Linked DNA regions of Elephas maximus indicus. The protein of the gene in region 2 binds, or shares a complex with, the protein of the main gene of each other region. Links are inferred from orthologs where the notes say so. Each region holds a gene or a part of one and is shown on either strand. Other genes may lie near its edges. The genes, in order: MYBL1, TFDP2, E2F6 and E2F2.

Region 1 (8,087 bases), on a different chromosome or scaffold from region 2:
TGAATAGACTGTTTCTCTTTTAAAACATTTCACATTTTATTACCCTCTAAGGTAAATAATCATATTTACATATACAAGAAATATCATTTAGAGCAGAAAAGACATTCACGTATGAAGACCCTAAGAAATCTGAGTAATTATTCTGAGATAATTTCTCACCACATCCTTTACCTGTACTCCCATAAGAGAGTGTAGCTTGAGTCCACCACATTACTGCAGACTTAGGACTCTTCAAATCACTCTATGTTTTAATATATGTAGCTGACAAAGAATTAAAATCAACAGTGCAATATATGTTTAGGTTTCAAAGCTCACAGAATTGTCAGTAACAGAAAACAACATATGTGATTATAAAATGGACAGAGAACCGGTTAGGGAGGAGAGGGTTCTGACATTCAAACATCCGTGTCTAACCATAACTTTAAGTGCTGGGAACAGCATTAGCCAAGAAAAATCAACAACAATACTAATAGGTAGATAATGCCACACACTGAAGATAAAAACTTTTGAGTTGACATAAATTTTCACTTGTCACCCTGCTTAATGAAGTTACTTTATTTACGAATTGTTTGTATTTAAAAGTTCAAATGAAAAGGCCTAAACCAGTACTTCAGTAATCATCATTACAGGACCTTTTAAAATCTCTTTTCTGAAGATCAAGAGGTTAACTGGGTCCTTGAAGTTCTAGAACAGTGGATTCTAAACCAGAGGTGATTTTGTTCCTCAAGGGTCATTTGGCAATGTCTTGGAGACATTTTTTGTTACTGGCATTTATTTACTGAGTAGAGGCCAGGGATGCTGTTAAGAATCTTACAATGCGGAGAACAGCCCCCGAGGACAAAGAGTCATTTCATCCAAAATGTCAATAGCAGTAAGGCTGAAAATCCTGCTCTGGATAAGTGGGTTTTTCATGTGTATGTGTGTGTATACATTTGTTCCAGCTCAAGGGTCTGCCCTATACTGTAGTTGCTACAAAATAATAAACAAGGACTTAGTTTACAGTTTATGTTGATTTCTGCAAAATATTTTGTGCATACTAGAACCTAAACCAAACCCACTGCCATCAAGTCGATTCCGACTCATATCCAGACCCTGTAGGTTGGAGTAACACAGAGTTGGGCTTCCAAGGAGCAGCTCATGGATTTGAACTGCCAGCCTTTTGGTTAGCAAACGAGCTCTTAACCATGCACCACCAGGGCTCCTTGTGCATACTTGGTGCTTAACAAATGAATAAAGCACAATATGTGTAGTTACTTCCAATTTTGAGTTTTTAAGAATCTTCAGTAAATGAATCCAAGTGATAAATTTCGGCTGAAGAAACACATCTCTAGTTAAGAAGGCTGTGGATCTAGATAAATAAAAACATTGTGAAATTATGCCAAACATCTTTTCAGGTTTACATGATACTGCAAATTAAAAAACACCCAGGGTTCTTCTGTTTCCATCATTTAAGTGGTTACTCCACACAATTTAGAAGTAGCTGCTATAGTAATTGGCTTTTGTTTTTGTTTACTATAGTCATACACAGATAAAAATTAGATGTATAAATTTATCCTAGCATTTTCCAACAACAAAAAAAATGTGCCCTATCTCTGTGCAACACATAGGTACAGTCAGAACCAAACACGGACACTCAAAATATTACGTGAGTGAAATACATTGTTTTATTTTAAGCACAAGCTACTGATAGTAACGATGTGACATCCTCCCAGTAGAAAATATTTTAAAATATACATAAGCTGAGAGCATGGGTACGAATGATTACAGAAAACAGGAGAAAGGTACTTTCTCTTCAGCTATTCCTCGGAGAATTTTCCATACCTTTCAAGGTAGCCAAGTTGAGAGTGGGGTCCCCGCCCAGGTTTATCAAGAAGTTCCTAGTTAACGGGTACAGTGATTCAGAAAAGAGAGTCCCTCTGAGCCCCGTGTTCCAGTCCTCCAGGCAGGACACTGCCGTTTGTATCTGCGTAGCTGTCCCCTGAAAGCGCGCAGACTTACCTGGCCAGAAACCCTTTCCCACCGAGAAATGGCTCTGAGCAGTTAGGGGGCTGGACGCGCGCTGCGGGGAGGATCAGCTCAAAGGAGCAACCTGGGCAGCTGTTACTCCATTTCTGTGTTTTAATCACAGTGGTCCCCAACTCTCCACACGCCGCGGGGGCCTCCCCACAGAGGGGCCGCAGCGGCTGTGGGGCAACGGGCAGGCAAACTCTACCCCGGCTGGGGAGAGCCCGGGGAGGGACGGGGGGACGGGAGAGGGAATCTAAGCCAGATGGCGCCGCCAGGCCTGGGCAAAGGGGATGTCACCCACCTGCGCGACCTCTTCGCCATCCTTCAAGTACCGCATAGGCGCGGGCTGGGCGGAGACGCAGTTCAGCCTCCTCCAGCCTCAGGCGAATGCTCCTTCTCCCCGACCTTCCCGCTAACTTCCCTCGCACCCTCCCCGGAGCTGCCGAGCGCGGAACGCACGTCCCCGCAGGGCAGGACGGAGGGACAGAAGGGCGGACCGCGACCCGCCCGGACCCGCAGCCCCGCTCCTAGCCCAGCCCTGCCCGGTCAGGGATGCCCCGACATATCAGGAGGCGCGCTCTCGCCCTCTGCCTGTCCCTCCGCCGCCCTTCAGCCTCCTCGCTGTAGTCCCAGCGCGGCTCCGCAGAGGGCGACGACCCCCGCCCCGCCCCGCCCCGCAGCGAGCAGCTCTGCAGGGCTCGCAGCCTCCTGCAGGGTTTTGTCCGCACCGCCGAATCTCGCGCCCAGCCTCCCTCAAGAGCCGCCGTTTGAATCTGCGCACGCGGCCCCGAACCTCATTGGCTGTGGCGGCCGCAGCCGGGGGGAGGGGGAAGGGTGGGGCGGGGAGAGCGCGCGCGACTGAGGGCGGGGAGGGGAGCTGGAAACTGGGACTGGAACTCGCGGGAGTCGGGGCAGGAGCCGGGAGCTGGGGGTGGGGCCGCGAGGGGCGCGCGGGCCGCGCTGTGACAGGAACCGGAGCGCGCCCAGCGCAGCAACGCGAGGGGGCGGGCCCTCGAGGGCCGCGCGCGGCCCGCTGGGAAAGCGAGTTCCTGCGCTCGCCGAGGGCTGAGTCGGAAGCCGGGGCGCGTCAGCCCCAGCCGCCGCCAACTGCCCGGGCGGGCGGCCCCGCGGGTGGGCCGGTGTACCTCTTTGCAGCCGCTTCTCCGTCTCCGTTCTTCCCTCCTTGGGTGTATCCCAGCTCAATAGGAGGTGAAGTCTTCAGACTTGAGATGAATCTGACCATAAACCTACGCGGCCGTTATTTTTTAAGCAAACATTTAAGCTGTCTTTGCCCAGACATCATAGTTACGGGAGTGGCGAAGATTGTGGCAGGAAACCGAATTTCACCTATTTTTTCCCCCCAACATGGCAGGAGTGGGACAGGTGAAAAAAGGTTTTCATCAGGAAACGTGTTTAGAACGGGAAAGGGAAGTAATTCATCTGCGGCTGGTCTTTAAAGTGCTTAATCTCCAACCCCGCTGTACAGGAGTTATTCGGTGTGCATCGTGGAGGAGCCCTAGACCGGGAGGAACATGCAGGGAGACAGCAGTGCGCTGGGAATCTCGCCCAGATTCAGAGTAGCTTTGCCTGATGAGTACGGTAGTCAACAAGTGACCGTCCTTCCGCAAGAGACAGAGGGAAAGGAGCTGCATTAGAGAAACTTCTAGCAGAGGTTCCAAGTTCAGTAGCTACGAATTGCTCAAATCAAGTAGATTAACTATATTAACGATCAGAAATGGCCAAGGATCCAAATTTGCAAGGCAACATGCTCTACTGCATAGAGCACTGAACCACATATTAATATTGTAACATTAACTGGCATTTTGCTATTTTGACATTTCACGCGTCATCTTTTGCAAATCGGAGATGCAGGTGCAAATGTGAATTAAGAGGAGCTTGCATGCAAGTTACTGTCAAAACACCTGCCTTCTTATAGTTCCTTTTTCTCAAGGTAGGGGTTCTGGGAAGGTAAAGAAGCTTTTCTTGTAAATCATTCCTGTGTTGGTGGTCCACTTTAAAAAACAAAACAAAAACACCTAATTTAGAAAGCAATGTCATTTGGAGTCAGTGTTTTCTTATTTATTCCTAGTCATACACTACTCCGTCATTTATATTCTAACAGCAGAGCTTCTGCCGTATTTTAGGATATAGTCAGTTTTACACAAAATAAATTTTTAGAACTTGAAGGCAGGCGTTTGAAATTTTGACAGTAAAATAAATCCCTCTCATTTTACAGGCAGGAAAAAAATTTTCCTCGGGAAGATAGAACATGGCAAAATAAATTAGTCATAAAACTAAAGACAAAGTGTGGAACTAAAGTGGTAAGTCATTTGAATTTACATACTCTATCATAAACCAGGCTGGTTTTGGATAGTTAATGCTTCTCAAGTTTGTCCAGTGAAGTACCTGCCCTCAAGGTAGAGAGGATTGAATACTAAGGGGAGCAGGAGGGGGAGGAAGTGTCTGGGAGCAAGTGTTGAAAACTTCTTTGAAATCTATCTTTAAAAACTCATGTAAAATTTTGCATTCTATTCCATGATAAATATATTCATGTTTTTATTATAAAAACATTAAAAACTGCTTTACTAATTCACTTTCATACTCCACATCTCTAAGTAAATTGCTTCCCAAGAAAAATGCACCATGGTCATCTTTCAGACAGCTGTCCCTCTTCTCATCCTCCCCCAGTCAAAGGCCAGATACTCAAAAAGTTTGCTTATACTAGTCTGAAAAGTGCCTAAAAGATTGTGCTTTTAATAGAGTTGTATCAACCATTCTCATACGGGGATTTTTTTTTTTTTTTTGTCTGTTTTATTCCCTGCTAGATCCACACAGCCCCTGGAATAGTGACACAGCAAGATTTTGCTCAATAAAATACTGTATCTGTAGAATGAATGAATGAAAAAGGGCAAAAATAAGCAAGCACTTAAATATTCATGGTCACAAGTTGGCAAAAAAAAAATTAAAATAGATTTGAAATAACACTTTGTAAATACTAAATTGTTCTAAACCATGCGAAAAAGATTTTAATAATTTCTCGGTGGGGGTGTTACTGAAAACTGATATAATCCTTTTGGAAAGCAATATCAAGCAAAAGTCATAAGGATGTACATAGCCTTTGAAAGACATTTTATGTTAATAACTGAATAGAAGCAAAAAAAAAAAAACCCTGTTAAATCCAATGGACACTTGAAGAAATAAATCCTCATCTTACCTGCCCTTTCTACTGCATTTGACTCGATTACTGCCTTTTAATTGAAACTTCATCTCAGTTTCTGTGACATCACCTCCATGATGTCCATTCTATACATCCCTCAAACCACTTTGCAAGCCCCCAGCTCTGCCTGCTCCTTCAAGGTTGGCATTCCCCAGTATTCAGTATTCAGTTTTTAGCTCTGTTCTCACTTCACACTGTCCTAAGGAATCTCACCCACTCCTGTGGTTTCAATCATATCCTGTAAGCACAGGATTCAGCAGATCTTTACTTCCAGCCCCAACCTCCCTCCTGAACTAGATCTCTCTCCACCTGCAAGAGCTAAAATCCCAAAATTCAACCTCTTTGTAAGAACAGGATTCACCTTTTTATTTATTCTCTTTCCATTAGCCTCTCCTCTCCATCCCTACTGCCAGTGCAAGCTCTCATCTCTCACTCAGCTACAGGAAGTCTTTTAACTGATTTTCCAGCCTCTAGTTTTGTCCAGTCCAATACATCCTCCATACGGCCACCTGAAGGATCTTTTAAAACATAAATCTGTTTTTTTCTGCCCAGCTTTTAAAAGCAAACAGAGTAGTGGTTACCTAGAACTGAGGGGAAGGGTTGGGAGGAAATAGGAGTGATTGCTAATGGTTATGGGTTTCTTTTGGGGGTGATGAAAATGTTCTAAAATTAATTGTGATTGTTGCACAACTGTGAATATACTAAAAACCATTGAGTTGTACACTTGAAATGGGTGAACTGTATGGTATGTGAACTATAGCTCAATATTAAGCTGTCATATTAAAACAAAACATAGCTTTCATTGGCTTCCCATTGCCTACAGGATAAAGTCCTTAATATGACAATAAGGTAACTTGATGATTTGGTCCTACACCTATCACCCAGCCTCATAAAAACTATTATCTGATAAGCAGCTACACACTAAGTTGCACTATGTTAAGTATTGAACATACATTATCTCATCTATGTTACTAATAGAATTCCCATCTTACAGATGAGGAAACTAAGGCTAAAGTGGTTTAGTATTACTAGAATATAAAATTGGAAATGAGATAGCCTAGTAGAAAGATCTGAACTCAAGATGCTTAGGAGAGGAGGAGGTTCTAGTTAATCTAAGGCATAATACTTTACAGGTATTAGAGTAATTATGAGTATGTCACTTATTTACCTGCACCTTATTTTTAAGTGCATTTTCATGTGCAATTTTTGTTTTAAGTTGGTACTGGGTCTCAGTTTAGAGATCTAGGTTCAAATGTGACTCTGCTATTATTTTCCTAAGTTAACCATCTCTTAGCTAGTTGTACCTATAAAAATTAACTTATTTGAGAAATATGATAGTAATTTAGAAGCCAGAATGATGATTTTTACTGGTAATGGGTTGAGGTGCTACACCTGGAACTGCTTTTGACAACAAACATAAAGGATAAAGTAACAAGTAACTTCAAATACTTATACAAGAGTTTACAACTATATAATGCAACAGAATAAACACCTGATCAAGAATCAGGACAGCTGAAACTTTCTATGTGATCTTGGTCAATTCATGTAATATACTTGAATTTTTTGTACACATCATGCTTTCCATGCCTCTGTGCTTTTGCACATATTTATCCTCTGTCAAGTATGCTCTTCTTTGTCTGTAAAATTTCTGTTTACTCATCAAGACCCAACTCAGATGTTACCCTCTCTGGAAAACCTCCCTAAATCCTCCCTCTACCACTCCCTAAAGATTCCATTAATCATTATCTTCTACCTCTGTTCCTGGAATATATCTCTGCTGATGCATTTATCACATTTCAGTATAATCTGTTCTTCTCTTATTCATTCTCTTAACCTAACAGACTATGAGTTCATTTATCTCTATAGTACCAATGTCAATTGAGTAGGTGTTCAATAACTTTGTTAAACTGAACTGAGTGATAAGATTAATACTAAACAGTATTTCTTTTCATCTAAGAATGAGGGATCCCCTATGCTGTGTGCCTAAATCCTTCCTATTACACTAATATACATGAGGATCCCTCATTCATGGGGTAATGTGATGGGCCATACACATGCTGTGTACACAGTGGGTTTGTGCTACAGCTTAGAAAACACTGAGCATGGAGAATCTACTGCTTTTATAGCAAGCAGCAAGCGGGCTTGCTGTTCTTTCGCAACAAGGAGATGCTACCTCATCTCTCAAGTTTACCAGCTGCAAAAATAATCCTGAGAAATATCCTGGGCAAAAGAGTGGTCAGGGTCTTGGAATCTTGGCACACCCAGCAAGATGTGTGTAGGACTGCAAGAGGGCCAAGGAGGACTGTCTCTCTCAGTAGTAGCCATATCAGTATCTCTAAAGGACAGGCCTATAGTCCATTCTTTGAATGTCATCTCCCTATTTAATTTGTCCTTTGTTTTTACACATTCAGTGAATGAATGAAAGATAAAGAATGGTTTTTGCTTATATTTTTTAGCCTTGCTTCTTCGGCAAAAAGCAAAAACACTACGCTTCCTTTGAAGTTAAAATGTCTTCAGTTTACAAAATGATGGCGCCACCTAGAGGAGACAACAAGTCCTGAAATTACCCTGTGTAATTTCATTACAAATTTAAGTCCTGGGCTTTTGGTTCAAGATGGTGGATTGAGCATATGTGATTACCTATTCTCCATACCTGGTGGTGTAGGGGTTAAGAACTACTGCTGCTAACCAAAAGGCTGGCAGTTCAAATCCACCTGGTGCTCCTTGGAAACCATATGGGGCAGTTCTACTCTGTCCTATAGGGTCACCGTGAGTCAGAATCAACTCAACAGCAATGGGTTAATGGGTTTATTCTCCATCCCAAACTCATGTTATTACAAATGCAGAAAGGGGAATGAACCCA
Region 2 (8,120 bases):
ACTTTCTGGAGTCATGGAGGCTGAATGAACTCCTCAAACTATTGCCCTGAAATAATCTTTAAAACTTAAGCCAAAAATATTCCCTGGAATCATCTTTAACCAAATAACAATTTAGCTTAATTAGTAAAGAATGTCTGCCTTGTGCTTTGTGCTCTGTTAAAGAACTATTTATATGAGATCAAATTGAAAATAGCAACTGGAAAGGTTAGATAGGAAGCTTAGGGGCAGTGAGTTTACGTTAGTGGGGGAGGAACATTTCAGAAAGGGAGGGTAAGAATGGTCGCACAACTTGAATGTGATTGAGGTTACTGAATTGTACATGTAAAAATTATTGAATCAGTGTATGTTCTGCTGTATATATTTTCAACAACCAAAAATATAAATCATTTTTTTTTAAAGCTCCCTTCCTCTTGTTTCCACTTGTGCTTATTTTCTTTAACCCTCCATTAGCTTTTCAGAGTTCTTATATAGTTGAGTTTACAGAGTCCTATAGGGTTGCTATGAGTCAGAATCGACTTGACGGCAATGGGTTTGGTTTTGGCTTTTTAATTGCTTCCCTTGGTGATCATGGCAAGGAGGTATCCAGAATCATGAACCTACTCATGCTGCCATCTTCCAAGAAGTCCTTGAAAAATTAAGCTTTATGCAATTTTAATCATATTAAATAGCCACATGTGGCTAAGTCTGCCATTTTGAATAGCACAGCTCTAGACACTGGGAAGCCATCAGAAGTTATATTTCTTTTCTCATTTGTTTTTAAACCAAAGTGTCATGGATTGAATTGTGTCGCCTCAAAAATGTGTGTATCAATTTGGCAGGGCCATGATTCCCTGTATTGTGTGATTTTCCTGTACGTTGTAAATCCCGCTTCTGTGATGTTAATGAGGGAGGATGGACGGCAGTTGTGTTAGTGAGGCAGGGCTCAATCTACAAGATTGGATTGTGTCTTGAGGCAATCTCTTGAGATATAAAAGAGAGAAGCAAGAAGAGAGACAGCGGGACCTTATACCACCAAGAAAGTAGTGCTGGAAGCAGAGCGCGTCCTTTGAACCTGGGGTCTCTGCTCAGAGAAGCTCCTAGTCCGGAGGAAGACTGATGAGAAGGCTGACAGAAAAAGAAAGCCTTCTCCTAGAGCCGACACCCCGAATTTGAACTTTTAGCCTACTTTACTGTGAAGAAATACATTTCTCTTTGTTAAAGCCATCCACTTGTGGTTTTCTGTTATAGCAGCACTAAATAACCAAGACATAAGGGAATGACATGTGTTTTAGAAAAACACTGGAAGCAGTGTGGGCATTTGGATGGTGAAATAGAGGCAAGAATAGAAAATTGCTTTCAATTCTGTATGATGATGTCTTTAACAAGGGTGGAGAGCATAGGAGGATGAGCTGGTTTGGGAAGGTAGACCAAGGATTGAATAGTGTAGAAGTTGCATTTGAGATTGTGGGATGTCTGGGTAGAGATGGGCAGTAGGCCGTTGAAAATAAGAGTTTAGAGCAGAGCAGAACAGAGAAGGCCAGAGCTTTAATTTTTTGTAATCATCTACACAGAAGTGATAGTTAAGTCATAGAAGTGGGAGTGTAGATCTTGAAGAAAAGAGCATCAAGGACAGAACCTTGAAAAATGTCTACATTTACAGCATAGAATGAAGAAGAGGAGTGAGCAAAGCAAAGTTACTTACTGTGTGATGTTTTTGAGAAACAAAGTCTTATCCATGGAAGTGGTGATAGGAATTCATTGCCTTAGTTATAGCGCTCATCAAGAAGATCAGACATTTTCCTTGAAAATGTTAGCAAGTATAGGCAGGACGTCACTGATTTCTGCTCCGTCATATGGGTCTGGTAGATAGTTATATTTAGCAACTATGGGCAAAAAAAAAAAAAAAACTTCATTAAGCTATCATAGTGTCATTTTTGCCTATAGGAATATTTTGTTAATATTTGCTCATGTTGCTAAAACACATAGCAAACTCCAGTCAAAATAACTCAGCTTATAAAGTCAGGGGAAAGAATGCCTAGGCACGTTTGGTGTTTTCGAGATAATCAATAGTTGGAATGAATGTGTTGCTTAAAGTGGAGTCCCTTATTGGTGCAAATGGTTGACATGCTCGGTTGAGAGCCTGAGGTTCAAATTCACCCAGAGGTGCCTCAGAAGAAAGGCCTGGCAATCTACTTCTGAGAATTCAGCCATTAAAACTCTATAGCGCAAAAAACAAAAGAGAAAGAAAAGAAAACCCTGTGGAGCATAGTTCTGCTCTAACATACGTGGGATCTGACATGACATGAATTAGAGTTGTGTCTTAGGCTGGGTTCTCTAGAGACGCAAAACCAGTAAAGTGTATAAATGTATACAGAGAGATCTATATCAAGGAAACAGCAGTGTGAGTGAAGAATTTGGGACTGGAGAGGGGTCATCAGGAAGGAAGGCAAGCAGGGAGAACGGAAATAGGTGGAGGGATAGAGATAGCCTGAGGGTCAGATCTATAGAGTAGGCAGTAGGGAGCAGGTCAGTTTGCTGTCTCAGTGCCTGATACGTAAGTGGTGCTCCGTAAGTATCTGTTGAAGGAAGGAATGAGTGGTGGTTAAAAAAACAGTTGCCGTTGAGTCTCTTCCGACTCATGGAGACCCTGTGTATATCAGTGTAGAACTGTGATCTATAGGGTTTTCTTTTTTTATATTTATTTTATTTTTTGTTGTTGTTGAGAATATACACAGCAGAACATACAATTTCTACATGTACAATTCAGTGACACTGATTATTCTTTGAGTTGTACAACCGTTCTCACCCTCGTTTTCTGAGTTGTTTCTCCCTCATTAATACAAACTCACTGCCTCCCCAAGTTTCCTATCTAATCTTTCAAGTTCTTGTTTTTAGTTTGATCCCATATAGATAGATCTTCAAAGAGGACAGTGCTCAGGCAGGCATTCTTTACTATTTAAGCTAAACTATTGTTTGGTTTTAAAAAGACTTAAGGGGATATTTTTGGTTTAAGGTTTAAAGATTATCTCAGGGGTTCATCCAGGCTTCATGGCTCCAGAAAGCCTAGATTTCATGAGAATTTTAAATTCTGTGCCACATTTCCCCTCTTTTGATCAGGATTCTTCTAGAGAATCTTTGATCAAAATGTTCAGTAATGGCAGCCAAGCTCCATCCAGTTCTGGGTCTCATGGCAAAGGAGGCAGTTGTTCCACAGGGTTTTCAGTGGCTAATTTTTTGGAATTAGATTGCTAGACCTTGCCTCCAAAGCACCTCTGGTGGACTTGAACCTCCTAGCCTTTGGTTAGCACCTGAGCATGTTGTTTGCACCACCCAGGGACTCTGGCTTGTAGTTAGAGAGAAGAAAAATTATTCCTACGGGAACAGTGGAATCCTACTTTGGCCCCACCCATTTAACGACTCTTGACCTCAGTCATTTCATTTCTTCCTGAAATGTTACGTGAAAGGTTATGTTAGAACAAATACTAAATGTGTGAACTTGTAATCGCTGTCCAGCTCTCCAAAGTATGGTGAGTGTACTTGGGTACCTGAAAGTTTAATTTCCTTTTGTTTTAACAGAGTAGCAAAGTAGACATGACCATAGCTAGCCCCTGAATATCCTGGTCTTGGGTGACATGGGCGAGCATTTCTCATCTGACAGGTAGAGGTGTGCAGTTCTTTTCTCTACCTGGCTGCTGGTAGGAGATCAAGAATGGTGAGAAGCAGGATGGGGCGTTTAAAATTATATATAAACATAAAATATTTTAATACACAAAATTGAGCGGATTCTGTGTAATTTCCAAGTTTCTTTTTTTATTCAAAAGTCTTCCAAAATTTGACTGCTCACAAAAACTTAGTTTGTAGAAGTTTAACCAATTTTCCTTTAAATATTACAGTGATCTCACGCCTGATAGTGGAAAAGGATTTTAGAATCAGAAAAGGTACAGGGCCATATAGGTGGTATTTTTAATTTTGTTTAAACTAGTATATATTTGTTATTGTTGTTAGGTGCTATCAAGCTGATTTCGACTCAGCAACTGTCTCATAGAGGTTTTTTTTTTTTTTACTATAATACAGTAGAACTGCCCCATAGGGTTTTTTTTGACTATAATCTTTGCGGAAGGAGATCTCCAGGTCTTTCTCCCGTGGAGCTGCTGGGTGGGTTTGAACTGTCAACCTTTCGATTAGCAGCCACTTAACTGTTTGTGCCACCAGGGCTCCTTAATATGTTTATAGCCCACTTTAATTTAGACCCTAAACTATATCATTGTTGCTATATCTCTGTATGCATCTAAGTGTAAAAAGCGGTACATAGTCTATTTACAAAAGAAAAGTTTAATTAAGAAAAAGCTCTCTTTGATCTGTTTCATTCAATGTGTATTTATTTAGCTAACAGTCCTGTTTTAGACATTGAATATACAGTACTGAGCAAAGCTCAAAATCCTTGCCCCCGAAAGCTGTTTTCAAATTTAAACCAAACCCATTGCTGTCTAGTTGATTCTGACTCATAGCAACCCTATAGGACAGAGTAGCACTGCCCCATAGGGTTTCAAAGGAACAGCTGGTGGATTCGAACTGCAGCCTTTTGGTTAGCAGCCGAGCTCTTAACCACTGAGCCTCCAGGGCTGCATTTTCCAATTAGGTGGTAACTCATCAAAAAAGGAAAGGTACCTTACTCACTAGAAACGCTGTTCATAGAGGGAGCTGAGACGTAAGGTAATAAGCCCACTGAAGTCAGGGGTTTTTGTTTGGCTTTTGTCTGTTGTGTTCACTGCTATATCCCTAGAGCCCAAAACAGTGCTTGACTCATAAAAGGCATTCAGTAAATATATGCCATTGATCCAAGTGTTTATCGTTTTGAATTTGTATGATTATAGGCATTATTTTTACATCTAGCTAGTTAAAAATTTTATGATCTCGGTTACCTTTTAATGTTTGTTCCCTACTTCTTGTTTCTCCTTGTGCCCACGACCAGGATGCAGGGAAAGCTTACTGATATTGATAATTAGTCTTTTGATTATCTGATTTTATAAAGAATAGATTTGGGAAGGAACAGAAGAAGTCAGCTTTGGTTCCACTTCCTGGCTAGAAAAACTGAGATGATTAAGTACATATTTTTAATTAATCATTTTTAAAACTGGGACATTAACTGGGGCTCTCTTGAGAAAATGGAAAAAGGTACTTAGCGTACATAAATAAAGGGGGGAAAAAAAAACGTTGCTGGCGAGTTGATTCCGACTCACAGTGACCCTATAGGACCGAACAGAACTGCCCTATAGGGTTTCCGAGCAGCAGCTAGTGGATTGGAACTGCTGACCTTTGGTTAGCAGCTGAGCTCTTAACCGCTGCGCAGGGTAGTAATCTGAAAATTTTAGAACCTTTAACTGTGTGAGAAAGTAAACACACACAGAGACACACACAGACACAGACATGGACACGGACACACACAGACACAGACACAGACACACACACACACACGACTAAGCTGCTCTTTGTTGATATCAGAAATGGGCCTGTCATTCATTTTGGCATTGAAGCGTAGCCTCCTATCTCAGGGGGCAGGACCAGGTTTTTTTTTTTTTTCCTCTCTCTCTCCCTCTCAGAAGAGCCGGACAGTTATTTCAGGTTCAAAAAGCTTTGACCAACTTTTCAAGAGTTTCTTCCCATTTTTATTCGTGTAACTCTCGGTGCTTTTGCTCTGCTTTCAAGATGCATTCAGATCTGCTGCTGCGTGACTGCTTCAGAGCCAGCAAATACCCTGAAATGTGTAATTCGAATTTTTCAGCTTTCACGAGTAAGTTTAATCTTACTTTTTAGCCAGCTAAAATTCAAGTGATTAAATTCAAGTGATTTTTTTAGAGAAGCGTTAGCTTGGAGTTAGGCATTTCACCATCTCACCCCTTTTATTTTAAACATAATAAAAAAAAAAGAACTTTAGTAAGAAAGCAAGGTCCAACATAGAAAGGCTCCTTAAAAAAGCCCCTTTCGGTCTCTTAGGACCTGTGTTTCCAGTTTCTTTTGAAGTCTCTTTGTTACGTTAGGCAGTATTTAGAGGTCTTTTAAAAGCCAATAGCTAGTTTTCTTGAGCATCTTTTTTCTTTTTACTGAGGAGTATTTTAAATGGATCTTTTCTGAGCTCGATTGCTTATGTCTGACACAGTCTCAAGTTTCCACTGAATGGTAACAAAGACTGTAGAGTGTTGTTGGTACTGCAGTGAGAGGCATGCTTCCTTAGACCAGGTAAGAGAGAGCATTTTGTTTCTTAGTGCTGGGTGAGTTTTTACAGCGTTTGCTTTCTGTTCTTTAAACAGCAGCAATGGTAAATGGGTAAATAGCTAAGAGCACGCTGAAATCAAGACGTCCTTGCTTGTTGCAGACAGGGAAACTACAGGGCATGGGGGTTGGGGTGGGCTGGGGGGGAGGGGTAGAGTTAGTTTATCACTCAGTTACTTACCTAAATTCATTAAAATGTGAAAATAATTCTAGAGTTCAGTGTTTTTCATTCAAGAGCTACAGAAACATTTGAGGACGGGAATAATTTGAAAGGTACTTTGTGATTTTTAACTTCTGAAAGCAATTCAAATGATTTTTACTTCCATTTCTTTCTAGCAGTTAATAAACTTTACCCTTAACTATACATTTTTTTTTTTTTTTATGGAGAATTTAAATTGTCAACAGCCAAATAGGCTTCCTCGGGATCTTGAGGGATAAACCTGACACTTGAAAAATATTTCAGATTTTATAGCTGTTTCATGCCTTTTTTTTTTTCCACCTAGAACATTTTTCTTAAAACTATTTGTGCTTTGAAAATGTCAGCTGTATTCTAATGAAGCTCAGGCATTGTTTGCTCATAAAGGGACTGGTGCATTCCACTGCTTTATGGTTTATTATGAGGCAGTGTGAGGGTGTGGGTGGCACCATTTGGTGTCTGCCTCTCGGGGCAGTGACTGCCATTATGTTAGCTTTGGGCTGGCAAAGAAAATATAGCATGCAAGATTCTATATGCATCTGGATCCCGTAAAGAAAAAACTCTAAGCAGTTCTGAGTGAGCCGGGAATGTGTGACAACTTGATTGAGTTGATCACTTCAAGTATACACTTTTCAAGTCTGCATTTTAGTGACAATGGAACATCGGTCACCTTTCTTGTTTTTTGATGTGTATGGAACTTAGCCATTCTATGCGCTTTAATTAAAAAAGTGAATCTTTCTAGATCAACGGTGACATTGTATAGATCCAGCACAATCTGAAATAATTTTAATACATTTACTTTAGAACAAGTTTTAAGGAACTTGGTGTGGGGGGGGGGGAGTGGAAGGGGGAGATCAGGGGGAGAGCCTTCCTTTCAGGCAGGAAAGCCCTGATGAAGAAAGAGCAACAGATGTTTCTTCTGTTACAATTGAGGTTGTTTCATTCAAAACACAGTAGCTGGAATGGGGAGGGGAGGTCATAAATCTGACTTAATCAGTGAATCAACAAAGCTTAGTCTTTTAAAATTTCTTTTTTTATACTCAGGATTTGAACATCAGTATTAGAGTAACATATTTGGAATAACCAACCCATTGCAGAAACTTTGTTTCCCCCATCTTCAAAAATTGTGTGTAATTAATGCAAAAGTGGGATATTTTATTTTAGACCATTTAACTTAAGGAAAAAAAAATTGAGCATCAGGTTATTGAGAGTATTTTTCAAAAGTTAAGTCATTATAAAATATCTAGGGACTACTCAGAGAATGTAAAAGTTTGTAATCTCGTGATAGTTAGGAAGGCTCAAAATGAATTTGAAAATGTGAAACATCAGTTGTGTATATTGGTAAGTCATTTCATCTTCTATGAGAAGCATGAAACTTATTCCAGAAGATCTTTGAATAAGAAATGTGAAAGAAATATTTTGGGTTTAATTGAAATGCTGTCTTGCTGTTTTGCCTCTCAAAAGATAAGTAAGCTTAGGGTCCTTGCTAATGGAAAAAGGGGAGAGTGATTATCTGCTGCAAAGAGAAGGATGGGAGAATTTGCAGGCAATATGCATGTCACGAAAACAGCCAACATTAAAAAAAAAAGTTTTTGAATTTGTAGAATTCATAATGAATAAAGTAAAAGCCTTTTCCTTTTACCAGTAACACAAAGAGAAGTGCTGTGTTCTTGTA
Region 3 (7,716 bases), on a different chromosome or scaffold from region 2:
AAATGAATGGAGAAGGCATAAGCCTCTAAGTTGAAAACCACTAAGTATGATCTCAGTGCTTCCCTAGGAACCAATGGCTCTTAATGGATGAATTGGTTTATTCTCTCAAGTTCCAAACTGGGATTTCACTACTGCTCCAAATCACACATCTAAAGGCCTTATTCTTCTATTCTGAGATCTCAGAGGCTAGCACGCTGTCCCTTGTCCCTATTACTTCTGGCCGAAGCCTGAAATGACCTCAGACGCTTCTTCCAAGGTGGAATAAGAGAATAAAAGATGAATCTCAGGGACTAAAATACGAAGCGATGCCTCAAAATTGGTTATACATTTCTCTTCACAAATGCCTCTTTCCCAATTCTCTGTTCTGGGTGGTAACATTCCTTCGAGAGCTTTTTGGAAACGCACCTTTCTCTGAGGTGACTGCGCTCTCCTCACTTACTCAGGCAACACCAAACACTAAAAAACCCTACAGGACAGAACAGAACTGCCCTATAGGGTTTCCAAGGAGCAGCTGGTGGAGTCGAACTGCTGACCTTTTGGTTAGCAGCCGAGCTCTTAACCACTGTGAAACCAGGGCTCCACCAAACACTCAGCAGTATACATAATCATCTCAGACAAAGAAAACAGCACATGTGATGACCTGGGGGTTAAGAAAGGATATGGAAAACTTTAGTGACTATAAGCAGTTCAGGATGGCTGAAAAGATAAACCCAGGAGCCACATTTCATTAAGGAGATTCTATTCTATTCTGAGAGCACTACGCAATCATGACAGATTCTTTAAACAAAATGACATGATCAGAAATATACTTTACAAAGATCATTATGGTTACTATGTGGAGAACATATGAGAAAGTGGGAGGCATGACTGGAAACAGGAAAACACTGCAATAATCTAAAAAAACAGGTAATGGTTAGAAGTGGTGAGTATTGCTGGTTAATTTTAATTGGATTGGGAGGATGAAGGGGGTCAGTTTGGAGATGGGAGACGGTAAGGATGATGCCTAAGATACTGGCTTGGGCAATACGGTGGGTGTGGTACTATTTACCAAGATAGAAGGTAAGCAAAAGCCCTGAAAAACACCAACATTTAATGAATGGGAAGGGGAAGATGAGTTTGCAAAGGAGCACAATGGAAGCCAGACAGGTAGATGGAGCACCAAGAATATGCGGTGTCAGAGAAGCTCAGTGGAGAGACTTTGGAACAAGAGAGAGTAGTTAATTGTGTGAAAGTTACAGGAGACGAGTGAAACATCTAATCAGAGTTAACAAGATGGATGATGAGCTTGGTTCCAACCCTTCAGAGGTGTGGGCAGGGCAGAAGTCCCAGAGCAGTGGGTTGAAGAGTTAATGAGAGGTGGGGAAGCGGACAAAGTGAGTGCAAACAACTATTTTAAGAAGCTTGTCTGTGAAGGGGAAGACATACAGCAGATGAAAGGGGATATAAAATTAAGGGACAGTCTTTTAAGACAAGGATCAGTTAAGCAGTCAAGAATTTATCATCTGGAGTCAGATATTCTGAGGTTAAATCAGGGCTCATTAGCTATCTTACCAGCTATCTAACCATGGGCAGATCACCTAACATCTCCAAATCTGTTTCGGCAACCATAAAACAAGAATAAGGAGCCCTGGTGAAGCTGTGGTCAATAGCTGGCTGCTAACCAAAAGGTTAGCAGTTCGAATCCACCAGCTGATCCTTGGAAACCCTATGGGGCAGTTCTACTTTGTCCCATGAAAAAAAAAAAATTTTTTTTTCAGTTCTACTTTGTCCCATAGAGCAGCTATAAGTCGGAATCAACTAGATATATCGCAGTAGGTCTGGTAACACACACGTTTAAGTGCTCGGCTGCTAAGCAAAAGGTTGGCTGTTAGAACCTACCCATCGGCTCCACGGGAGAAAAGACCTGGCGATCTGTTTCTGTAAAGATTACAGCTTGGGAAACCCTATGGGGCAGTTCTACTCTGCCCTATCGGGTCACTGTGAGTCTGAAAGAACTCCACAGCACACACCACTACAGAAAAAAAAGAATAATACTGTAACAGTGCCTATCTCTTAGGATTGCTGTGAGCAATTAAATGAGATAATATTCATAAACCATTTGACATGAAAACCGGGCATCTGACTGTTCAGTAATTGTTTAGCTATCACAAGTTACAGAAAGAAGCCAGCAGAGAAACTGAAAATATCGACCGAAATAGAAAATGACGGGTCCATCAATGTGCCCTGAGAACCCCAGAGAATAGAACTTCCAGTCTAGAACAAGAATAGACGAAATAAGGCTTCTGCAGAGAGGGAGCCAAATCTCCCTTCTGCTTTCTCTGTGAAACAGGACAGAAGCTAATTTACTGAATGGAGAGCTGTAGGGTGGGAAATGTGAGATGTGGACAAGGATTTAAACCTCTGCATTTAAGCGGGAGAATGCGAGAAGACGCTGAAGAGAAAAACAAATCTGCAGAGATGTACTGAACGGCCAGTTTAGGTAGACAAGCATGCATTTACCGTGCGAGGCTGAGCAGTTTTCTCTAAAAGTGCTCTGGAGCCCCGAGGGAAGAGCCAAAAAAGCTGACAACACATGTAGGAGCAAATAAGCCAGTCTGGTTCACAGTCCGTGATGGGCAGTGGGAGAGCCGGGAAGACGGAGGGGAAGCCCTGGGGGAGCTCATAATACAGACGACGGCCAGCCCGGCTCTCCTCCCAGAGAGGGCCCGGTGCCCGAGACCCTCCACCCCACGGTCCCGTGGCTTACCAAAAGGCCCTCCACGTTAATCGGGTCTCGGCAGCGGCGGCGAATGGTCTCCTCCGCCGGGTTCACGAGGAGGCTGGGCAATTTCCTCGGTGCCCGCTGCTGACTCATGCTGCCGAGCCGAGCAGCCATTCGCCCCTCGCACCCTGCGCACTCTCCCGCCTTCTCCCGCTCTGATCGAGCTACGCCTCCAACACACGGCTTTCCGGGGGCTCAGCGCGAACCAGATCCTGCGACTCCTCCGAGGCGCCGCCTGTCTAGGCCGCCCTACACACAGGAGCGTCACTACCCCCACGAACTTCAGCGTCGCTAACACAGAAGGGAGGAAAGGAAGGTGACCCACTACTGTTCAAGATGTCAGGCCCGCCATGTTCCCGCATGCGCGGTGCGCCGCCCCCTTTGCGCATGTCTGCCGCTGCCGCTGCCGCTGCCGCTGCCGCTACCGCAGCGCTCCCACGCACTTATCTATTCCCAGCGGCGGGCTGGCCGGAGCGCGGGAAATCCCGGACGGCGGATCCTTCGGAGAGGGTGGCGAAGGAAAGGAAGAGGTGGGGCAGGAACTCCAGAGGTAGGGAACCGGGATGAGAGAAAAGAAAGCAAACATGTTGCCCGTCCAGTCGATTCCTACTCACAGCGACCCCACAGGACAGAGTAGAACTGCCCCGTAGGGTTTCCAAGGCTGTAATTTTTTAGGGAAGCCGACTGCCATATCTTTCTCCCGTGGAGCAGCCCGTGGGTTTGAACTGCCGACCTTTCAATTAGCAGCCAGAGCTTAAACCACTGCACCAGCAGGACTCCTCCAGAGAAAAGAGACACCCGGGAAAACGCCACTGTGGTCTCAGAATTACTGACATTAATAAGTAAACCTGAGCACGCAGGGATGCTACTTTATTCTTGTAGTTCCCTCTGCACATCACAGGCTCTTGCCCATAGCTGATGCTTAGTAAATGTTGGCAACCAAACCACTGCGCAATTGTTTCCTTAGATGCTTCTGTCTCTCCTTCCTCTTTTCCTCTTATGAGTAATTGTTGATTACCTATTGTGTCAGGTGTTTGCTGGACACAGGAGATACACATTTGAGTTTGGCATAGACTTGATCCAAGATCAGAGAAACAAATACATTTTTATATTATGGTCACATGTCACTTCCCTTCTAACCCGCCAATGACAAATTCCTCAGCATAGCACACAAGGGCTTCACAATGTGGCTCCCAGGGACCCCTTAAGTAAGCCTCACCTGGAGTGTCTCTCTCCCTTACACACCGAGGTCCGGTCTGATTTTTCAGTTTCAGAATAGGGACGATACTCTCTTACTTTTGGATCTTTGTACATCTTACTTTCTCTGCCTGGAATCAATAATTTCCCGTTTTTACTGGTCCTAGCTGACTCAACTTAGCCATCACTTTCTTCAGAAAACTACTTCTTTTTCCCCATTCCCCTAGTCTTTGTTTGATTTTCCATATTTGTTCCTCTCCCCCTCTCCTAGCCCTCAACTAGTATCCTGCGCATATTTCTTTTTTTAACCAGTTGCCAGTTTAGTCAATTCCCACTCATGACAATCCTAAGGTGTGTCAGAGTAGAACTGCGGTTTTCAATGGCTGATTTTTCAGAATTAGGTATTTCTTCCAAGGACGTCTGGGTGGACTCGAACCTCTCCAACCTTTCAATTAGCAGCAAGCACTTAACCATTTACACCACGCAGGGACTCCATGCATGTTTCTAACCTGGCTCTTATCAAAGTATTTTGAAATTGTACGATGGGGCAGTAATTGTCTTCTCTACTGTTCGGACTTCAAGTCTTGCGGCCTCCTTGTTCCAATGGAGAACTGTCGGAATAAGGCCTGAGAACATGCACACACACACACACACACACACACACACACACACACACACACAAAGTTTTAAACTCGAAGGATAAGATTCAATGAGAGATTGAAGACCTTTCATGATTAGGCTGAATCAATTTCCTTTACTCCAGTCAGAATAAATGTTTTCTTATCTGGTGACAAGAAGAAAGTTGGAAAAGGAAACAATAGAGATGTGAGAATGAGGACCCTGAACCTGCTCCCTTGTACCCAGTCCCAAGAGGGTGGGGGACATGAGCAGGTAAGTTTGAGGACCTCAGAGCAGACAGCATACTCAGGTGAGGCCCAGGGAGGTGGCAGGTCTCACTGGGAAGTCCTGTATGACCATGGCACAGACACCACGGTAGATGAAGTAGCAATGGCAGTGTGGTACTCAGGGCATGAGATGCCCAGAGACCATCTCAGCATTTCCTGCAGTCCCTGATGGGTAGAGGAAGTGTTATGGGTTGAGTTATATCCCCTAACCCTAAATATGTTGCAGCCCCACCCATGTATCTATCAATGTGACTGCACGTGGAAATGAGTATGAGGAGTAGGAGGAGTAGGAGGAGTAGGAGTAGTAGGAGGAGTAGGAGTAGTAGGAGGAGTAGAAGTAGGAGCAGTAGGAGGAGTAGGGGTAGTAGGAGTAGTATTAGGAGGACGAGGAGGAGTAGGAGTAAGAGTAGTAGTAGTATGAGTAGTATTAGTATCAGTAGGAGGAGGAGGAGGAAGAGTAGTAGTAATAGGAGGAGTAGTGATAATGATAATAGACATTTATCCAGCATCTACTACGTGTTTGGCATTCTGATAAATGTTCTGCACACATTTTCTCATGAAACTCTCGTGTCACAACTGAAAGATATGTGTCTTTCTGCCCAATTTGTAGATCAGGAAAATGAGGATTAACAAGTCCTGGCTAGGTAGCGGTAGAGCCAGAATTTGAATTCCACGGCTGATTAATTAATTTGGTATGCTTATCCTTGAGAGGATTCTGACTAGTTGGGGGATTCTACAGTCAGAGATGGGGTCAGGTGAGTGAGGTGGGTGTGGGTCCGGATAGGGGTGGCAGGCACTCCAGGCTGAAGAAATGGCATGAGAACAGCTGTGGAGAGTCAGGGACTTGTTTGGGACACACCTCCAGGCACTGACAGCACCTATCAGCTTTACCCTGAGAATCACTCACACATGTCACACACTTGCATCTGTCTTAGCCTGGGTTCTCTAGAGAAGCAAAACCAGTAAAGCATATAAATATATAATATATATGTAGAGAGATTTATATTAAGGAAGTGGGGCTCATGCGGTTTTAAAGGCTGGAACATCCCAAGTCCGTGGGTCAGGCTGGAGGCTTCTCCTGAGTCACATAGCCACGGGGGCTGGCAAACCCAAGATTGGCAAACTTGGCTCTGGCTCACAGGCTGCGAAGACTGATGAATTTCAAGATCAGTGGGCAAGACAGCAGATAAACTGCTAGCTCACGTCTCAAGAACTAGAGGTCAGATGAACAGGAGCAAGATCCAGAGCGAGCAAAAGCCTGTGGGCCTTGCCAGAAAATCCACCTATTTTGGATGCAGGCCACACCCCCAAGGAAACTCCCTTCCAACTGACTGGCTACTCACAGCAGATCCTATCATGGAGGTGATCCTATTATATCAAATCTCATCATGGAAGTGACTCCATCATCCTATGACTGCCAGACTGCATCATAACTGCCAAACCACTGAGAATCATGGCCCAGCCAAGCTGACACACAACCTTAACTGCCACAGCATCTGTCATGTGCCTGGCAGTAGGTTAGGTGTTGAGGGTACAACTAAATCTGACAGGGACCTTATGTTGTGTTCCAGGGGCACCCAGCCTGGTGGAGACACATAACCTGGAAGTGTAAGAACTAAATTACAACGCGCATAACATGCTGTGGGAGCACAGAGAAGAAATAAATGAAATTGAATTTTGTATAGCTTGCAAGTGCCTTCTCACACAACTGCCTGTGAAGAAGATATTCTTATAAAAGATCCGTGGGTGGTGCAGAAGATTTTTGCTTGACTACTAACCTATAGTACGTTGACAAAGAGCTGCCTGAAATTCAGGCTGGATTCAGAAGAAGACATGGAATGAGGGACATCATTGCTGATGTCAGATGGGCCCTGGCTGAAGCAGAGAATACCAGAAAGATGCTTTCCTGTGTTTTATTGACTATGCAAAGGTATTCAACTGTGTGGATCATAACAAGTTATGGATAACGTTGCAAAGAATGGGAATTCCAGAATACTTAATTTTGCCCATAAGGAACCTGTACTTAGACCAACAAGCAGTTGTTCGAACAGAACAAGGGGATACTGCAGGGTTTAGAGTCAGGAAAGGTGTGTGTCAGGGCTGTATTCTTTCACCATACCTATTCAATCTGTATGCTGAGCAAATAATCTGAAAGATGGCCTATTTTGAAGAAGAACGTGGTGTCAGGATTGGAGGAAGGCTCATTAACAACCTGCGTTATGCAGATGACACAACCTTGCTTGCTGAAAGTGAAGAGGACTTGAAGCACTTAGTAATGAAGATCAAAGACCACAGCCTTCAGTATGGATTATACCTCAACGTAAAGAAAACAAATATCCTCACAACTGGACCAATAAGCAACATCATGATAAATGGAGAAAATATTGAAGTTGTCAAGGATTTCATTTTACTTGGATTCACAATCAATGCCCATGGATGCAGCAGTCAAGAAATCAAATGATGCGTTCCATTTGGGCAAATCTGCTACAAAAGACCTCTTTAAAGTGTTAAAAAGCAAAGATGTCACTTTAAGGACTAAAGCGTGCCTGACCCAAGCCATGGTGTTTTTAATCACTTCATATGAATGTGAAAGTTGGGCAATGAATAAGGAAGACAGAAGAAGAATTGATGTCTTTGAATTATGGTGTTGGAGAAGGATGTTGAATACACCATGGACTGCCAGAAGAACAAATAAATCTGTCTTGGAAAAAGTACTGTCAGAATGCACTTTAGAAGTGAGGATGGTGAAACTTTGTCTCACATACTTCAGACATGTTATCAGGAGGGACCAGTCCCTGGAGAAGAGCACCATGCTTGGTAGAGTAGAGGGTCAGTGAAAAAGAGGAAGACCTC
Region 4 (7,307 bases), on a different chromosome or scaffold from region 2:
GGAATGGAAGTTTGGTTTGGGGGCTTTTCTAGGGCAGTTTGGGCCTGGCTGGAGCAGGGCCTTCCTCACTTCCCAGCTGTGCAGCTTCAGGGAAGTCACCTAATGACTTCTTATCTGTAAAATGGGGCTAAGCATCCCTAACTCATCTGGTTGTGGGGTCTGCTCTTTCCATCCCCAATAACATCTACAGCACTGGAACCCCCGGTTCATTGGCAGAACTTACCCTCCTTCACATGGGGCTCTGCGGCTGAGGTCTTTGTTCAAAATAGCCCATTGCCTTAGGAGATCTGGGTTCAGATCCTAGTTTCATCTTTAACCAGCCCTTCCTTGGTCAAGTCCCTTCATATGTTTGAACCTCAGTTTCTTCATCTGTCCGTATTGAACCTATGTTAAAGGATAGTTAGGAGGTTTCAACAGAATAGTGCATGTAAAGTGCTTAGCCAGGTGCTTCACCCCGAGGAAGTGCTCAGGAAATGTGAGCTGTTGTCATCATCATTGACTCAGGGGAAGAGGGCACAAAGGTAAAAAAATGGTTTGAAGTTTTATTGAGTGTCCTACTCCAGACTTTGCTCTTGGTAGTCCACCATTTGAGCTGGGCTTGAAGGGTGGACCAGATTGGGGCACATGAGATGGAGGGGAGGAGGAGTATCCCAGGTAAGGAGCCTTGTAAGCAAAGCTTGGGAGGCGGGAAAGTATAGAGCAAGTATGGAAGACTACAAGCATTTTAGTCTGGTTCAGTGTGAAGGCCTCTTCTCTCCATCACACAAACCTTAGCTAAAATGCATTAAGTACCTACTAGGCAAGAGCTGAAGAGCTCTGGTGGTACAACGGTTAAGTGCTTGGCTGTTAACCTCAAGGTGAGTGGTTTGAACCCACCAACTGCTCCACTGGAGAAAAGACCTGGTGATCTTTTCCTGTAAAGATTACTATTACCATCAAGTCGATTCCAACTCATAGCGACCCCATATGACAGAGCAGAACTGCCCCACGGGGTTTTCAAGGTTAAAATCTTTATGGAAGCAGACTGCCACATCTTTCTCCCACGGAGCGGCTGGTGGGTTTGAACAGCCAACATTTTAGTTAGCAGCCGAACTCTTAACCACTGAGCCACCAGGGCTCCTTCCATAAAGATTAAAACAAAACCAGCCTAGGAAATGCTATGGGGCAGTTCTCCTCTGTCCTGTAGGGTCGCTATGAGTCAGAATTGACACAATGGCATAAAGCAACGACAACAGGCAATTGGAAATCACCCAGAGGTGCCTTAGAAGACAGGCCTGGCGATCTGCTTGTGGGTGGTCACAGGTTTGAACTCTCTAAGGAGCACTTCTACTCAGCACACATGGGGTCGCCATGAGTTACATCGACTTGACAGCAACTAACACCAAAATGCAAACTGCACACCTCCCCCCAGAGTCCCTGGGTAGTACACATGGTTAACGCGCTTGGCTGCTAACCAAAAGGTTGGACGTTGGAGTCCACCCAGTGGTGCCTTGGGAGAAAGGCCTGGTAAGCTACTTCTGAAAAACCAGCCATTGAAAACCCTATGGAGCATGGTTCTACTCTAACACACATGGGGTCACCATGAGTCGGAACTGACTTGAAGGCAACGGTACATGCCCAGCACCCCATAAGGATTTTACATCTAACACTCGATTGAATCAACTCGACAACAACGGGTTTTTTGGTTTAGTAATCCCAGAGGTCACTTTTGCCACCCCATTTCAAAGATGAGAAAATTGAGGCTCACAGAGATTAGGTAACTTGGCTAAGGTCACAACTGTAGGAATAGATGGGACAGGAATTCAAACTCAAGGAAACAGCTTTCAGATCTGTGTGCCCCACACCTCTTGCAAGAATTAGTTCCCAGGCAGTGAAACTCTAAAGCTAGCCCGAGCTCCCGAAACTCAACCGCAGAGAGCTGGCTCGCAGCTCCCTTGCTGGCTTGCTTCTCTCCTCTCAGCCCCACCCTACCACCCCCATTTCCCTCCCTGGCCCTGGGGCCCTGCTTCTTCCCCAAACCTGCTCTGCCACAATTCCTTCCAGGTTCCTTCATCTGTAAAATGGGGATAATGATAGTGCCTGTCTCAGAGAGGTGTCGTGAGGATCAGAGCTGATGCTCCAGGTGAAGTGCTTGGAACCCAGCACATAGTAGGCTGTCAAACATTAGCAATCATAATCACCACCATCATTTCAATAGTGTCTCTGAAGTTCTGTGAAATTAAAAAAAACAAAAAACAAAACTGATGGTATTATCCCTATTTGATGGTTGAGGAACCTGAGGTTAAGAGAGGTGGAGCAGCTGCCTGTCCTGGGTTGCTCAGCTAGGAAGTGGAGAGTGGAGACTTGAATTGGGGCCTTCTGACTTGGACTTCAGATCTCATTAACATCTGCCACTCTCTACTGGGAAGATGAGTGAATCATATCATCAATATTTATTTTGCATGCTAAGCCAGGTCCTAGATGCTGAGAGGTATCCAAAGAAGGATATGACCTGGACCCTACAGAGGGCTTTGAACCTAACTGATAAAAAAGGGATGAAAACAAAGTCTTGGAACATGAGGTAGAACATACTAAAGTTCCAGAGAGGGCCAGAAGCACTCTGACTGAGAGATGGCAGACAGGCAGGGAAGACTTCCTGAAGGAGGTACAATTTAAGCTGGGCCTTAAAAGACCAGTGAGATATGTAGACTGGAGTGAAGGGGTCTGTGTAGTGGAGATAAGGCCAGAGATGGAATAACAGCTGCCATTTCTCAGGTTTCCTAGGAGCCAGGCTCTGTGCTGAGAGCTTTACATGCATTATCTCATGAGATTCCCCGACAATCCTATGAGGTGGGTGTTACTAGAGATGAGAAAAACAAGGCTCAGAGACTAGAAAACCAGCATGGGATCACAGCTAGTAAGTGGCAGGGCCTGGGTTTGAACCCAGGGCTGTTTGCTCTAAAGCTTGGGTTCTTAAGCTTCATCATGCATTCTGGCTACGTTGTTCTCACAATCTGACCAGTTATTAAACTGGGGAAGGACTCTGGAGGGCCTTGAATGCCAGGCTTAGACTTGCATAAAAATCACAGGGCACCAGGCAAGAATCAGCTGACCTGGAATCCAGCAGTAGTTTCTAGCTCTGCCACTTACAAGCTCCATCATCTCTCTAAGCCTCAAAAAAAAAAAAAAAAAAAAGCCTCAGCATCCCTAAAAAAGAGAGATGAGAAATGTTATTGGATTATCAGCAATAAGGAAACCGTGGTGGCATAGTGGTTAAGTGCTACAGCTGCTAACCAAGAGGTCAGCAGTTCAAATCCACCAGGTGCTCCTTGGAAACTCTATGGGGCAGTTCTACTCTGTCCTATAGGGTCGCTATGATATGAGTTGGAATCGACTCGATGGCAGTGGGTTTGGTTTTTTGGTTATCAGCAATAAAGGCTTTTGAATGAGGGAGGAGGCTCTTGTGACAAAAGGATTGTTTTAGGAGAAATCTGAACATTTACCTAGTGTTGGGCCTGGGAATACAACCGTGAACAAGACAGGGCTCTGCACTCTGGACCCCTGTGTCTGCAAGGGGCAGGGCACAGCCTGGGTGGGTGGGGAGGAACCTCTTATTGGAAAAAACAAGGGCTCTGGAGCCAGACTGTCCCAGATTCAACTGTCGGCTCTGCCAATCAGCAAATTTTGCTGTATGACCTTGGACAATTTACCTAGCCTCTCAGATGTTCCATCTTTATGATGGTGATCATCACTCCTTTTCCCAGGACTGTTGAATCAAATTAAACAACATACATAATGATCTAGCAAGGTGCTTGGCATACTGTAGGCGCTCATAGATGGAGAAATATGAAGAGATATGTTAGGCTCCGAGAAAAGGTACAGGGTCCTGGCTTTCATTTTAGTGGGGAAATGGGCATAAATGCATATACGCTAGTGCGAACTAACGAAAGGTAGTGGCCTGAGGAACGTACTGGTAGGTCTGGGCTCAGGTTAGGACACCGTGCCAAATGCTTTCCCCCAGCCCCTGGGAATTCGGGTCCTTTCCTCGGCGCGCTCTCCCTGCTCTGGCTGTCTCTGCCTTGTACGACGTCCCGGGAGTACCCTCCCAGTCTCAGCTTCTCGGGCTGCTAGCCCCGGCGGGCACCAGGCGATAACAGGTGCGGCGGCCCCTTTAAGCAGCAAAGCTCGTGTTGCAATCGCCGCCTCGAAGAAAGGTCCTTTCCGGGGGGTGGAGCTTGCTCTTGTTGCAGCAGCCAATCGAAGCGCGGCATTTTCCGCGGGAGATCCAAATTTCGCGGCACGCAGTTTGGCGCTAAAAAAAAAAAAGAAGAAGAAAAAAAAGAGGCAGAGAAAGGCTCGGGAACTAGAGGGCGAGCCCGAAGAGTCAGTGCCATCGCCCCCCCACCCCCATCCGAGTGCATCGCGTCTTCGCCGAGCCTGCGGGCGCCCCAAGTCCCCTCCCCGGAACAGGCCGGCCCCCCAGCGCCGAGGCCTCAGGGGCGCTGGGCCGTCCCGGGTCGCGGCCGCCTTCGGGGCGGGGCAGCCCCTGCCCGTGCCACCGCCGCCGCCGCCGCCGGGCGATCTCCAAGCGGCGATCTCCAAGCGCAGCTTGGCTCGGCCACGGGCCAGGAGGGGAGGGTCTGGCCTTGCCCCGCAGGCGTCCATTGGCGGCTTTCCCCGGCCTCCGCGCCATGCCGCGGGCTGTGTAAGCTGCTGCGGGCTCTGGAGCCCGCAGGTGCCCGCGGGCGCGCCAGGCTCGGGTGAGGAGGGGGCGCTGCGCTCGCCATGCTGCGAGGGCCCCGGGCCCTGGCTCCGGCCGCCGGGCCACCCCAAAAGGGACTGCCCGCGATAAGTCCCACCGAGCTGTGGCCGCCTGGACTCGGCAGCCCCCAGCTCTGCCCGGCCACCACCACCTACTACACCTCGTTGTACCAGCAGACAGTGCCTCCCACCGCGGCACCGGGCACCTGCCTCGACGCGACCCCTCACGGACCAGAGGGCCAAGCTGTGCGATGCGTGCCCGCAGGCCGGCTGCCGGTAATGCTGGGGATTCCCACCCCTTCTCCCTATGCTTTTCTGGATGTAGGAAGGAGGGAGGGGCGCTTGGGACTCAGAGTTTTGGGAGGAGGATGATTGTGTTCAGCCTCCAGAACGACCCACTGCCCCCAACACCCGAGTAGAAGGCCCCTTCATATTCACACTTTGGGTGAAATAACCTCCTCCATTGGAGTAGAGTGAATGAGCACTGGATGGGGAGTCTGGAGATCCAGCCTACTGCCCCGAGTACATGGCGTGACCTTGGGGAAGTCCCTGGAGCCAACACTAACGTCATTCCTTCATTCTTTCATTCATTGTCTCCTCCAGAAACCAGTACTGGGCCTCTGCTATTGTCCATGCACAGGGCTTGGTCTGGGGACACCATGGGGACTTTAAAACAGAGCACAGGTCTGATAGGTCTTGGGTCCAGTCTTCCTTGGACAGACTTGAAATTATCCATTCAGCAAACTCCTTCCTAAGTATCTGCCCTAGGTCCTTCCCCAGGCTCATTCTTCCCTCCTAGACTGCCAGTAGCAGGTGCAAATCAGGGGTAGCACTTGGGGTTCCTGTTGAGATTGGCTGTTCCCTCCTCAAGCCCCAGGCCTGTTGCCAGGGAGGCCCAAAGCGTGGAGGCACAGGCTGCCTGCTGACCTCGGCACAGGGCATGTTTTGTGGGAGGCGAGCTCCTGGAGCCCATGGGAATCGAAACAAGTATAGGGTGGGGGAGGGGTGGGAAAAGCCCTGGGGGGCAGGTGGTGGTTGGGGAGCCTGGTTTCTGGTCCTGACTGTGCCACTAACTTGTGGCCTTGGATAAGCCTAGGCCCCGTCTGATTCTCAGTCTCCTTATCTGGAAAATGTGTGTGTCTGTCAGGTAGCTGGGGGCCTAGATCATCTTGGGTCACTTCCAGCTCCAGGTCCTGGGTTTTGTAAGCAGAATGGGGAGGGGAGCTGGGGGTGTTGCAGGTTTGCTTAGCCAGGGTGTGGTGAATACGCTCAGGTACAAGGATAAGACCACTCCCTTCCTCCAAAGGCATCTGGCACACCTGTGTCAGTCAGCAGGCACAGGCTCCCAGTCATCTCTAGATGCAGGCAGAGTCCCTATTCCTGCCATCAGAAACATGCTTTGCCCATGTCCAGAGTCACTCCCTGAGCCTTATTCCAACTAAGAGGGAGGAGGAGGCAGCGGTAGGTGCTATTATCCCTATTTTACAGGTCAAGCAAAACCAAGGATAACTGGGACTAGGTGGCTTTCTTGCATTCAGCATTTTATAGCATAAACCCCTTTTGTACTCTGTGAAGTAGTTGCTGTTAGTAGCTCCATGTTACAGGGGAACAGGCTCAGAGAAGGCATGTAACCTGCCCAAGGCCACACAGGAGGACAGGGTGGAATGGGGACCAGGCCTCAGGTTTCTCGACCCACAAGACAGGTGACAGGTAGTCTCTTCTCAATGCAACATTGACTTATCCCTAGATTTTCCAGCCTCAGAGTTGGGCCTCCCCTAGGGAAGGGGCTCAGTGGTGGGGCCCAGCCTCTCCTCTGGCCAGCTGCTTTCTGACACCCAGGCGGAGTTTCAGTAACAGCTGTGGTTTTGAGCTGCTTCCCTCCCAGAGGAGCCCCAGTGCATCTGTCTGCACCATCCCTCCCAGAGGGCCTCAGTGATCTCAGCAAGAATGGCTCTTTTACCGAACGCCTCGAGTGTGCCAGCCACTGCTTGGTACTCCTCACATTCATTGTCTTAGTCAAGATGCTGGGGATGAGGCATCTTGCAGACGAGGAAGCTGAGCAGAGCCGTGAAGTTACTTGCCCAAGTCACAAGAAGTGGGAGATCCTCGTTGCATGAGACCACCCCAAAGGTGCTGCCACTGGGGCCTGAGCACCTCTATCAGGCCCAGAGCCCAGGCTCCTCAGCCTCATGGGCAGGCCTTGGCCCCTTGCTTACTCATTTGACAAGGGTGTGACCTGGAGCGGCTCCAAACCCAACCCTGGGTGTGACTGCTGGCTTTGTGGCCAGACTGCAAAGTGCAGGGTGAGCAGGATTTGTCAGAGAGCTGCTGTTTAAAGGGACCTCCAGGGACAGCAACCAAGTTCCGTGGCAGAAGGAAAACCAGACTTCAGGTCTCCTTGCTCCCCATCTAATTCTTACTCCACCACCCTCTGGGGAGGCAGGGGAGACACCTTCTTTGAGTGCCTGCTCTGGCTGGGCACATTGCATTATTCAGTGTCATCCCTGCAGGAACCGGTGATGATGGGGTGATCCTGCCTGGCTCTCCTTTCCTTGTCATTTATCTGC

What was found.
Region 1: TFDP2 (region 2) and MYBL1 share a complex: the UniProt entries of both Homo sapiens proteins name them as parts of the DREAM complex. The link is inferred for Elephas maximus indicus from reciprocal best matches to the Homo sapiens genes TFDP2 and MYBL1.
Region 3: TFDP2 (region 2) and E2F6 share a complex: the UniProt entries of both Homo sapiens proteins name them as parts of the DRTF1/E2F transcription factor complex. The link is inferred for Elephas maximus indicus from reciprocal best matches to the Homo sapiens genes TFDP2 and E2F6.
Region 4: TFDP2 (region 2) and E2F2 share a complex: the UniProt entries of both Homo sapiens proteins name them as parts of the DRTF1/E2F transcription factor complex. The link is inferred for Elephas maximus indicus from reciprocal best matches to the Homo sapiens genes TFDP2 and E2F2.

Annotation. Positions count from the first base shown.
Region 1 is NC_064833.1:75,973,571-75,981,657, reverse strand, and holds the start of MYBL1 (myb-related protein A), read right to left. Parts: upstream 3,254-8,087; 5' UTR 3,251-3,253; coding exon 3,153-3,250; intron 2,639-3,152; exon of another isoform or gene 2,329-2,638; coding exon of another isoform or gene 2,309-2,328; intron 1-2,308. UniProt on the Homo sapiens protein: Transcription factor that specifically recognizes the sequence 5'-YAAC[GT]G-3'.
Region 2 is NC_064841.1:17,687,322-17,695,441, forward strand, and holds the start of TFDP2 (transcription factor Dp-2), read left to right. Parts: upstream 1-4,972; 5' UTR 4,973-5,685; coding exon 5,686-5,770; intron 5,771-6,073; exon of another isoform or gene 6,074-6,216; intron 6,217-8,120. UniProt on the Homo sapiens protein: Can stimulate E2F-dependent transcription.
Region 3 is NC_064830.1:26,134,996-26,142,711, forward strand, and holds the start of E2F6 (transcription factor E2F6), read right to left. Parts: upstream 3,171-7,716; 5' UTR 2,876-3,170; coding exon 2,747-2,875; intron 1-2,746. UniProt on the Homo sapiens protein: Inhibitor of E2F-dependent transcription. Binds DNA cooperatively with DP proteins through the E2 recognition site, 5'-TTTC[CG]CGC-3'. Has a preference for the 5'-TTTCCCGC-3' E2F recognition site.
Region 4 is NC_064821.1:63,970,199-63,977,505, reverse strand, and holds the start of E2F2 (transcription factor E2F2), read left to right. Parts: upstream 1-4,261; 5' UTR 4,262-4,764; coding exon 4,765-5,016; intron 5,017-7,307. UniProt on the Homo sapiens protein: Transcription activator that binds DNA cooperatively with DP proteins through the E2 recognition site, 5'-TTTC[CG]CGC-3' found in the promoter region of a number of genes whose products are involved in cell cycle regulation or in DNA replication.